Linked DNA regions of Drosophila melanogaster. The protein of the gene in region 3 binds, or shares a complex with, the protein of the main gene of each other region. Each region holds a gene or a part of one and is shown on either strand. Other genes may lie near its edges.

Region 1 (3,831 bases), on a different chromosome or scaffold from region 3:
ATGGATGAAGAGCAGCTCGGGTGGTCCGTCCTCAGCATCCTCCGTACTCTGCTCCTCGCCGATTTTGGACAAATCCCAGACGTGTAGGCGGCGGTCAGTGCCGGAGGAGGCGAGAATAGTCTCGTTATGCGGCGACCACTGCACTTGGAAGATCTCGTCCTTGTGCGACTCGAAGGAATGTAGTTTTAGCTTGAGGTTGCGCAGATCCCATAGAGCTACAGTCTTGTCAGCGGAGCCCGTGGCCAGAATGAACTCCGAGTAGGGATTAAAGCTCAAGCAATTGACTTCCGCTGTGTGAGCGTCCACTGTATGCGAGGGCTTCGAGGTGTTGTTGTTGCGCGTGTCCCAGATCATCAGCTTCTGGTCGTCAGCCACCGATCCGAACAGAGACTCATGTAGCAGATGCCAAGCCACGTCCTCAACAACGGCGGTGTGGCCGGTGAAGATGTTCTTGGCATCAATAACCCTATGCTCCTTGGGTGTGGCATTGATGTCCCACAAGCAGATGGTGTGATCATCAGAGGCTGACAGCAAATAGCCTGTAAGGACAATCAAGATGTTCATTAAGGGTTAAAACGTAATGCATTTTAGATGTGTCAAGCTCTTATCTGAGCTAATATATAAGTACTAGGTACAGCTACGCACTTACCATTGAGGTTGGGATTCCAAGAGAGTCCGTAGCCTTCCTTTTGATGACCGCGCAGCCGCAGGTCAGGCTGGCACTCGCCAGACGGTTCCGGCTTGCTGGGATGCTTCGTGTAGTCGAAGACCAGGACATCACTCGACGGCGTCTTGGTGGCGATTACACAGGCGTTCTGGGGCATGTAGCGGGCCCTGTTCACTTCGCCCTCGTGGTTGATCTTAATCTCGATTTCGATTTTGCCGCACACCGATCCAAAGCCTCCAAACTCGCCCTTCTCGTTATCGTAGTGCGAACCATCGAACTGGGCATCCTCGCTGGGCAACTGAACGCTGGCGATGAGTAGATGGTTCTGCTCGTCAGATGTGTGTGTGCCCAGTATAAGACGATGTACCGAGTAGTCCTTGCCATCCTGCTTGGTCACGTCCGGCAGCCACTGGGCAGTCAACGAGGGCCATTCCAGGGCATGCGTCATGACCAGATCGTACAGGAACGGCGTGTTCTTTTTCCAAATCTTATACTCCTCATTGATCACGCGCTCCTCGACGGCGTCGTCGAAGGATTCCGCTGCTAAAGGTCGATGGTTACACATTGCGGCGATTAACTTCTAACCGGACTTACCATTATCGCTGCGATCCACCATTTCGAGGCTTTTAGGCACGCAATTTCTCAGTCTGCGTCAAAAGTCGGCAGCCGAAAAAATCGGGCGCCAAAACAAAAGCCGAAGCGGCAAAACGTGTGCAGAAAAACTACGAAAGTTCGCTACGTAGTTAAAGCTCTCGCAACGAACACTTGACCGAAAGTCGTTGTGGCAGGGATTGAGTCGAATCCTGGCCGGGAACTTACACTTTAAACGGCGTAACGTCAGGGCAAAATAGAAATTGGCTAATTTCCTTCGTTTTTTTGCAAGCGCGTCGTCGATGATAGAGATGCAATGCTAAAGATTGTCGAGACGACTGCCATATTCGATTACGATAACGATAACAGAGTTATGGAGATGACACTGCGCGGTATTTTTATACTTGTTACGTTCCTGCGTCATGATTTTAGTATTTTGTGGTTTACATCGATATATTTGGGGTTTTAAAAGGTATATTTTAACGGTTGCAGTTGCGGGCACACTAAAGTGCATAAACAAAGTTTACTACTTAATTCGTTATCAGTGCGAATGATTCGAAACCAGTTTACGCGCCAATGACCGGCTTTCCATTCTTATTTGACGAGCCTAACGTGCCAGTTGCAGTTAAGTTCCCCAACCGCAACGACGGTGGGCAGCCGTGATTCATCCTCAACGCTTTTTTTCCAATTGTGTATGCAAAATGTTTTTGCACGTAACGAGCTGAACTATTGAGTTTGCTAAATAGTTTAACAAGCAATAATTTGGCCGACATGCAGGTTGATGGTTGTACCAGCAGCTCATCCGAGATCCCCCATCCCGCGAAGCGTGAAACGTGTAAGTGCACAGTGGACTTGTTGGCGGGTTGAATGAAAAACTTTCTCTCTTGGCGCGCCGACGATTTTGTTTGTCTTTTCTTTCTTTCACTTGTGTAATCCGAATTTGGACCTCAAGCTCGTTTTCTACATCGCACGTCACTTTCCAGGGATCAGTGGGAAAATGCAGTCGTCATCGCATTCCAAAGATGGTCATAATGCAGCGGGGGCTTCAAAACTGCTTCAGGATCACCAGGAGCCCGAGGACTACTTGGAGCACCTAATGAAGGAGGGCAGTCAGGAGGGCGACAGCGGTGCTGATTTGGAGCTACCTTCGTGGTACGATGAGCAGCTATTCAGGCGGTAAGTTGCGTGACTAATTGTTCACTGATTGCATATTAGCCCAGTAACCACAGTAGAAATAATTGTGATAATTACAATATCCATATACACATGGGTTATTTATAAGCTTGGAGTTATGTAGCAGTTTGCTATGTGAATAATAATGCGAAAAGGCAGCATATAATACTTATCTTTATCTGTGCTCATTATTCCAATTTTGTACCTACGGGCTTACATATTAATAACAAAAGGCGACATACATTTACTTTTAACAATATATATGTATATGTACATGTATGTATATGTATATTTTAATTTAAATAATATAACTGCATTCGAATTACTTAATTGATTCTTTATTCCTTTTCCTTGCAGTGGTCAGAGCTACTTTAGCACGTATCGCTTTGTAATGAACGCCGGAATGCTGGCTGGTCTTATTGCCGTGCTGGCTATTCCATCCATTCTCCGGGTGCTGTCGTGCACACGCCAATCCTCGACAGCGTTCACCGCCTACCGTCGCTATGTGCGTACTATATTCCACACGCAAGCCTGGTATAACCACAACATCGCGGACCGTGGCAGCAGGTTCTGGACCAGCATTGCGGCCGTGAGGCGGGCCCACAGCCGCTCCAGTCATGCGTGCGCCCGCCAAGGAGCTGGACAGATCACCCAGAAGGATTTGGCGCTCACGCAGTTCGGTTTCATTGGCTTCATAACGATGGGCGCACATCGCATAAAGCTGAAAGATCAGGACTTCCTGGAGGCCACTACGCATATGTGGCGCGTTCTCGGCTATCTGCTGGGCATCAAGGATGAGTACAACATCTGCGGTAGGAACTGGGCGGAGTCAAAGCTCCGCCTGGACATTGTGATGCGTAAGGTATACGAACCAGCTCTGGCAAACACTGGGGAGGATTTCAAACGAATGACCGAGGCCCTGATTAATGGCTTGTGGCACATAAACACCATGCTGTCGGTGAATGCCAACATATTCTTTGCCAAGCGATTGGCCTGCGTTAAGGGATACGAGTACTACAGTTTCGATCATGAGAACGGAGTGGCGCAGGATCCCCAGCAGAAGCTGCACTACTACGACATGGGATGGTGGGACCGATTCATAGTCAGCTACGGCCTGTTCCTCGTCACATATCTGCACAGGTATGCCCTGGTGCGATGGTACTTGAACTTCCGCGTCTGGCTGGTGGACATATTCACCTATTACTTGCCCTACGTCGCCATTTGGAAGTTTGGCCCGAAGTCCGCGTATGTGCGGATTTTCAGGAATGGCGGGGAAGCCCAAGACTTTGCCCTGGGCTTGAAGGACGATTAGATAGTGTTGTGTTTCAGTAGGTAAATTATCAATAAATATGCAAAGTAATTGTTGTAAAAGGAATGTTGAGTTTATATTTTAACCATAT
Region 2 (3,831 bases), on a different chromosome or scaffold from region 3:
TCGCCAACCATGGGGGCCTCGTTGTTCAGTTGGGGAAGGGCTAGAATGTATGGGAAGCAGTTAAGTAGAGCTGTTGTCGAGCGTAACCCATTGCAATCCTTGCCAGAGGCCATGAAGAAGGCGAGGCCCAGGATGAGAGTGCACACGAGTAGGAACTTCATGGTAAAGCTGGTTTGTTGTACAGATGGCTTGCTTGCTTCTGATGCCTTGGAACTGCACAGACTCCCTATTTATACAGAATGCGGCTCGATAAAAACCGCTCCAAATATACAAAAACACTTGTCGTTGCACAATTTGCGAGCAACTCGTTAGTTATAGATGAATTGATATTGAAATGTCGCTTGGTGTATTTGGCAGCGATGGGTAACGCCATTAACGAAACACATAAAGCTTAACAATTGATTTCTTTTCTTTTTGTTTTTTTGTACAAAGGAGCTTCTATAATTAAACAAAATGTGTAGGGGAGAAATAAGAGGTACTTTAAAAATACGCTTACAAAGCGAGGGTGTCCGAATCAACATGTAGGAAAAAAGAAAAGGGTAAGGGAACTAGCAATTAACTAAATAAACGTCCTGGAAGCTGGCCGGTGCTCATGTACTGTTGTTGTTACTTTGCCGCGGCTTGAGTATCAGCTTCCCCGTGTCGTCACAGCTCATATTAAAGTCTCCCAGTACCATTCGCGTTCTCGATGTAATTATTTGCGGAGCTATGACTAGTTTCTGTATGCCCAGGATGAACAGGACGACTGCGGAGAGAAATGATAAGGTTTACAAAATCAGTAAGTCAGTTTCAAACCAAAAAAATTAGATTAGATTAAATGGAAGTGTTTGTTAGCTGAAAATTCTTAATCAGTTGGACTATCAATATTGATATATACAAATCGAATTTGATAAAGCGAAGAGCTTTGACAAGATTAAAGGCAACCTAATGTTGCTAAAATTTGGAGAATGTACTTATGTAGTTTGCATAGATGTGATAGATATAAGGAGTGTATTCTACTCAAAATAACAGTAGAAATACCTAAAAATTTGAAATTCTTGATTTTGATCCTTTCTTTTTACCGAGTAGCCTGAGATAACCTGATATATAGTATCGACTTGCTCTACGATATGATTATATGGATTTAAATAGCATGGTATGGCTTGGTATTAAAATTATTCTCCATACTAGGTAGAATATCCGAGGTTCAATGACCGCCGCTGTTGACTACAAAAAGTGACCTATGTACGGAGTACAGTAGTGGCTACACCGATTCTTACCCAATGTTAGGGTGGCGACTGTGAAGACGGGATGAATCCAGAGGGACTCCGTTAGCGGTACAACGGTGGTGCGCGGATCGCGTAGCCAGTACCAGGCGCTGATGGCGGTGCACATGGACATGGCGGAAAGGACAACTGCAAGAAGCTCTATGGTTATTACGGATTGTAATGCTCCCTGGTGTTCTCATTATACGGATGCAACTTACTGCGCCAGCGGAACGTCGAGGGACGGTACGATGAAACCACTTCGGTGAGGCGCCGCTCGAAGGCCTTGAGATCTGCAGAGGAGCGAGGAAAACAAACCCAGTTATGGTTGGTAAACATAGTCAGTGGCTTGCGCGTTTTCCGGCTCTCTTTTGCCGGCGAGTTACATACCTTCGCAGGCTGACGGTTCCATTGCAGCTATTTCCTCAAAGCTCGTGGCCGTCTTAATGCGATTAAATTTGTCCAGTTTAAATATTATTGTATTTATTATTATTATTTGATGAGGTTCTCATAGCTTTCTTTTCCTCTTTTTATGTTTTTGATGACATTCCACGTTTGAGAGCACTGATAACGGGCTGCGTTTCTCAACACTACACAAAGCAGGGTCGTACCAAAGAGGGGCTCTTTGTTTATTTCCTACTTTCAGTACAAAATGGTTGTATAGCTAATTTAAAGTGAGTATTATATTTATGTATTATTTATATTATATTTATATTATTTTAATACAAAAATATCATAGTTTTTATTATAATATAAATATAATTAATGGCTTACCGGACAAATTAAGTACCCACTAAATGGTCTTCTACATACACCCATGTGTCTAAGTTATTCTTCCTGCAGTACAACGGTCACACTGCGGCAGCTGTTGCAAAAAAAGGCGGATAATATTTGTAGCAAAATCAGTGTTTTTTATACGTAAAATCAACAAATATAAAGTCCCTCGAAGGCATTATGAATAGCACTAAAGTGCCGCCCGAGTGGAAGAGGCGTGTCAAGTCGGAGTACATCAAAATCAGGCAGCAGAAGCGCTACAAACGTGCCGACGAGATCAAGGAGGCGTGGATAAGAAACTGGTAAGCGCGGGAGAGATGGTGGATGTCTGGGAATCGAAAATCTATGTACACATATCCTCCAGGGACGAGCACAACCACAATGTACAGGATCTGTACTGCGAGTCGAAGGTTTGGCAGGCTAAACCCTACGATCCGCCGCATGTGGACTGTGTGAAGCGGGCGGAGGTGACTAGCTACAATGGCATTCCCAGCGGTCCGCAAAAGGTGCCCATTTGCGTGATCAACGCGGTCACTCCCATACCCACCATGTACACGTGGGCACCAACACAGCAGAACTTCATGGTGGAGGATGAGACGGTGCTGCACAATATACCCTATATGGGCGACGAGGTCCTCGATAAGGATGGCAAGTTCATAGAGGAACTGATCAAAAACTACGATGGCAAGGTTCACGGCGACAAGGATCCCTCGTTCATGGACGATGCCATCTTCGTAGAACTGGTGCACGCCCTTATGCGCTCCTACAGCAAGGAACTGGAGGAAGCCGCTCCGGGTACAGCGACTGCCATTAAAACAGAGACGTTGGCGAAATCAAAACAGGGCGAAGATGATGGGGTAGTTGATGTTGACGCAGATGGTGAATCTCCCATGAAGCTTGAGAAAACCGACAGCAAAGGGGATCTGACTGAAGTTGAGAAGAAGGAAACTGAAGAACCGCTGGAGACTGAAGATGCGGATGTTAAGCCCGATGTGGAAGAAGTCAAGGACAAGCTGCCCTTCCCTGCGCCCATTATTTTTCAGGCCATCAGCGCTAACTTTCCAGACAAGGGCACCGCGCAAGAGCTCAAAGAAAAGTATGTAATTTGATAACCAGGTTAGTAAATATCCCTTCTTACGGCTTTTTCTTTTTGCTAGGTACATTGAGCTTACGGAGCACCAGGATCCGGAGCGCCCACAGGAGTGCACACCCAACATTGACGGCATCAAGGCCGAGAGCGTTTCCCGGGAAAGGACTATGCACTCCTTTCACACGCTCTTCTGTCGTCGTTGCTTCAAATACGACTGCTTCCTGCACCGTAAGTTAAACGATGGGAACTGCTGCCAGCTGGGTTACCTAATGACTTTACGTTTTGTTTTTGCTTTTCTTTTCTTGTTTGGAAACAATATTATCTTACCAAAAAACACAAATCTGTACCATTTCTTAAACCCCCAAAAAAAAAAACGAAATTCCAAAATGTATTGAATTAATTGCAATTTAGGTCACCATGTGCAGGGTGAGTCGTTGTTGTAGTTGTTGTTTCGATAACCACACGCACACACTCTCATGCCGTTTGCCCGTCAACGCCTCCGCATCCTCATCTCGCTGTCTATGAATATAATTTTTATAATAACCCATATCGGTGGATAATTTGGCTATGTTTGTCATGTGTCTAAATTGACCCCTCGGTGTTGCTCACCTCATTTTCGTGTGGCTTTGGCTGGACCATTTCTCTCTATCTCTTCAAATGTAACCGATTACCCTCATGCTAATCCAAAAGCGTTTCATAGACATCAAGTGATTTTCGCCCGAT
Region 3 (3,600 bases):
CTGCCCCTACTAAACCCAAAAGCTTTATCACAATCTCTCAACTGATGTTCTATTTATATATTCTTTCTTTCTATTGCCAAAACTATTTACCTAAAACCAAAAAAAAAAAAAAACATGAAAACTAAATGAAAACTTTTGCACAAAACACACAAACAATCCGAATGCTATGCAACGTCAAATCAACGTGGTGTCTCGTTGCCCAAAAATTGCCCATTTGCATTTTCGCTGTTACTCACTGCCAACTGCTGGGCGCCGAAAAACTTGACCGCCTTGGCACTCGAAACTGGCGCCCAACGTATGCCGGCCATTTACTTCTGCAGGGAGGGCTGCAATGGGAATTGCAAGAACCTGAACTGCAGTCGCCATAGCCACGGACGCGATGACCAGCAGCAGGACAACAACAACTCCAATAGGAGTTGCAGCCTGCAGGAGGCGTCGCCTGGGGGAGCAGGTGCAGGTGTCACACCAGGCGCTGACAACCAGGACAGCATAGAGAGTCGCACCAAGGGCGTTTCCCAGGCGCCGCAGACCCACAGTGGCCCAACGGGTCCACCATCCAACACCTCGAGCGAAACTATCGCACAACCTGCCCCTAAGCTTCAACCCGCCCTGGAAACCGTAAGGGAATCGGTGATGGAAGAAAGTCCTTCGAAGGATCCCGGCGACAAGGGACCACCGCCGCCCGCCAGCACATCCACATTGACATCCCAAACCACCACCTCCTCCAGCGCAACCGCGGAGCCAAGTGCCAAGGCGGCCGAGAGTCAAGCGGGAAGTGCCGGCAGCAGTGGCAGTTGCAGTAACCCAGCGGCGGTGCATCGGCAACGCCGCCTAAGGACACCCACCTGGGCCAGGTCCATGTCGACGAACAAAACGTACTTGAAATTTGATTTCTATGCTAGACTAACGTTTATCCGTTACGCCTCTTCAGTTCGTTCGATTTGCCTTTATCGTTTCACGTTTGCGTTAACCAACCAACAACCACACAGCTCCAGAATGAACTACTTTCTATATATACACACATAACTCTATGAACTCTGTCTCTCTATCTCTCCTTTATCCAATCTATCCATCTGTCTGCTGACCTCTGTCTGCGATTTCCACTGCTGTAATCTTCTGTCTAGCCTCTGTCCCCTACCCCAAATCTTTTGCTCGCTTCTGTTGTAAATAACTATTTTATCCTAGACTAATCAAAAAAAAAAAAAGAAAAAAGGACACTTGTTTCGTTCCCCAGCCGCGCTCAGCGGGATTGTAAATGTTTCGTTGCCGCGTTTGGACAAAAAATTGCTTACTACGTTTAAATACTCCGTGCAACTATTAAATCAAACTTACATTCATACGTAGTAAGCACTTGAAGGAGTGAGAACTGGAAGATATACTTTAAATGTATTCAAAACTGCTTAAAGTATTTGTATGATACATTTGCATTTCTGAGAAACTATATCTTCCACTTTTGACGCCACTCGCAAGCAGCAACTCTCCTAGTCTTGTCGACCAGTGTAATTTTGTGAATACATGTACAAAGTTTGAATACCGCACATGAATCCATGGCATGTTGATTGTCCTACATTTGTTTGTTTTCTATATTAAAAAACTAGCTTGCGCATGTGTTTTGTCGTTTTTGAACTTTTTTTAACTTTCCCGCCTAAGTGTGTTAAATACCGTTTAATGTTTACCAACACTGGCCAGCCGATCGTGACCAGGTGGCCACGCTGCGCAATGGTAAGACCGTACTGCCTGCAATGCCTGGGTATTTTACGCGATCCGTGACTGGGGTCACACCATTGCCGCCAAAAAAAAACATTTTCATTCGCCTCGTTATTTAAACATTTAAAAAAAGCATTATCGAATAGTTCATTGAAGTCGCGGCCTAATTTGGGTTTCATTTAACCGTACAAACGTGCCGCGCGTTCGAAATGAGCAGTGATAAAGTGAAAAACGGCAACGAGCCCGAGGAGTCGGAGGAATCATGCGGCGTGAGTAGCGAATGACAAATGGCTGTGCGAACCGAGAATTAATGGATCTTTTGGGCCATGTGCCGGCTGCAGGATGAGTCGGCCAGCTATACCACCAACAGCACCACCTCGCGCAGCAAGTCCCCGTCATCCAGCACGCGCAGCAAGCGCCGCGGTCGCCGGAGCACCAAATCGAAGCCAAAAAGTCGCGCCGCCTACAAATACGAGTAAGAATATGCACTTTCTCAGCTGGCCACTGATACTGAACCTACAAATGATTACCATGAAGCACCCACGTGAAGGAGAACCACGGAGCCAACATCTTCGGCGTAGCCTTCAACACGCTGCTGGGCAAGGATGAGCCACAGGTCTTCGCTACGGCGGGCAGCAACCGGGTGACCGTCTACGAGTGCCCTCGACAGGGCGGGATGCAGCTGCTCCACTGCTATGCAGATCCGGATGTGAGTCGCCAGGATACAGAATACACTTTCAAGACCCTATTGATCAGTTGGCTAAAGTTAGGGGCTTCATACATTAGACATCGCATTCAAAGCTGTAGAAAAAGTGGGATCCAGTCAAAGTTTCTATTAAATCATTGCTTTTGTTAATTGTTTTAAAGTAAGAACAATCGTTACAGGCTTTCAGCATGGTTTCACAATATCCAAACATTTATCATTTCTTGTATTAAGTTTGGTTTTTCATAACAGTCAAGTTTTCAAATTAAAGCTTATATTGTTAATTTAGCCGAGAGTAACTGAGAATATGGTCGCAAATGTAATTGTACAAACTCGAAATACATCAACAAATCTTGAATTCCCTTCCCAGCCCGATGAAGTATTTTACACCTGCGCCTGGTCGTACGACCTTAAGACCTCTTCACCTCTCCTGGCCGCTGCTGGATACCGCGGAGTCATCCGGGTTATTGATGTCGAGCAGAATGAGGCGGTGGGCAACTACATTGGCCATGGACAGGCCATTAACGAGCTGAAGTTCCATCCGCACAAGCTACAGCTTTTGCTTTCGGGCAGCAAGGATCACGCGATAAGATTGTGGAACATCCAGAGCCATGTGTGCATTGCCATCCTGGGCGGAGTGGAGGGACATCGCGATGAGGTGCTGTCCATCGACTTTAATATGCGTGGAGATCGCATTGTGTCGAGCGGCATGGATCACTCGCTGAAGCTGTGGTGTCTGAATACGCCCGAGTTCCATCACAAGATCGAACTGTCGAACACTTTCAGCCAGGAGAAGTCAACGCTGCCTTTCCCCACGGTGACCAAGCACTTCCCCGATTTTTCAACGCGGGATATACACAGGAACTATGTGGACTGTGTGCAGTGGTTCGGCAACTTTGTGCTCTCCAAGTCCTGCGAAAATGCCATTGTCTGCTGGAAACCGGGACAACTACATCAGAGCTTCGAGCAGGTGAAGCCGAGCGACTCCTCCTGCACGATAATTGCGGAATTCGAGTACGACGAGTGCGAGATCTGGTTCGTGAGATTCGGCTTCAATCCGTGGCAGAAGGTGATTGCCCTGGGCAATCAGCAGGGCAAGGTGTATGTGTGGGAGCTGGATCCCAGCGATCCCGAGGGCGCACACATGACCACCCTGCACAATTCGCGTAGCGTGGCCACTGTGCGCCAGA

What was found.
Region 1: esc (region 3) and Caf1-55 share a complex: the UniProt entries of both Drosophila melanogaster proteins name them as parts of the polycomb repressive complex.
Region 2: esc (region 3) and E(z) share a complex: the UniProt entries of both Drosophila melanogaster proteins name them as parts of the polycomb repressive complex.

What each region holds. Positions count from the first base shown.
Region 1 is NT_033777.3:15,223,345-15,227,175, reverse strand, and holds the start of Caf1-55 (chromatin assembly factor 1, p55 subunit), read right to left. Parts: upstream 1,601-3,831; 5' UTR 1,284-1,600; coding exon 1,262-1,283; intron 1,211-1,261; coding exon 650-1,210; intron 540-649; coding exon 1-539. Other genes in the region: CG31344 (uncharacterized protein), read left to right, coding at 2,030-2,093, 2,242-2,434, 2,789-3,743. UniProt on the Drosophila melanogaster protein: Core histone-binding subunit that may target chromatin assembly factors, chromatin remodeling factors and histone deacetylases to their histone substrates in a manner that is regulated by nucleosomal DNA.
Region 2 is NT_037436.4:10,636,129-10,639,959, reverse strand, and holds the start of E(z) (enhancer of zeste), read left to right. Parts: upstream 1-2,080; 5' UTR 2,081-2,198; coding exon 2,199-2,320; intron 2,321-2,382; coding exon 2,383-3,114; intron 3,115-3,175; coding exon 3,176-3,336; intron 3,337-3,519; coding exon 3,520-3,534; intron 3,535-3,831. Other genes in the region: CG18628 (uncharacterized protein), read right to left, coding at 1-40, 104-161; Cnep1r2 (CTD nuclear envelope phosphatase 1 regulatory subunit 2), read right to left, coding at 591-745, 1,260-1,406, 1,466-1,537, 1,635-1,656. UniProt on the Drosophila melanogaster protein: Polycomb group (PcG) protein. Catalytic subunit of the Esc/E(z) complex, which methylates 'Lys-9' and 'Lys-27' of histone H3, leading to transcriptional repression of the affected target gene.
Region 3 is NT_033779.5:11,827,552-11,831,151, reverse strand, and holds the start of esc (extra sexcombs), read left to right. Parts: upstream 1-1,746; 5' UTR 1,747-1,916; coding exon 1,917-1,976; intron 1,977-2,048; coding exon 2,049-2,182; intron 2,183-2,244; coding exon 2,245-2,416; intron 2,417-2,780; coding exon 2,781-3,600. Other genes in the region: Pde1c (phosphodiesterase 1c), read left to right, coding at 321-875. UniProt on the Drosophila melanogaster protein: Polycomb group (PcG) protein.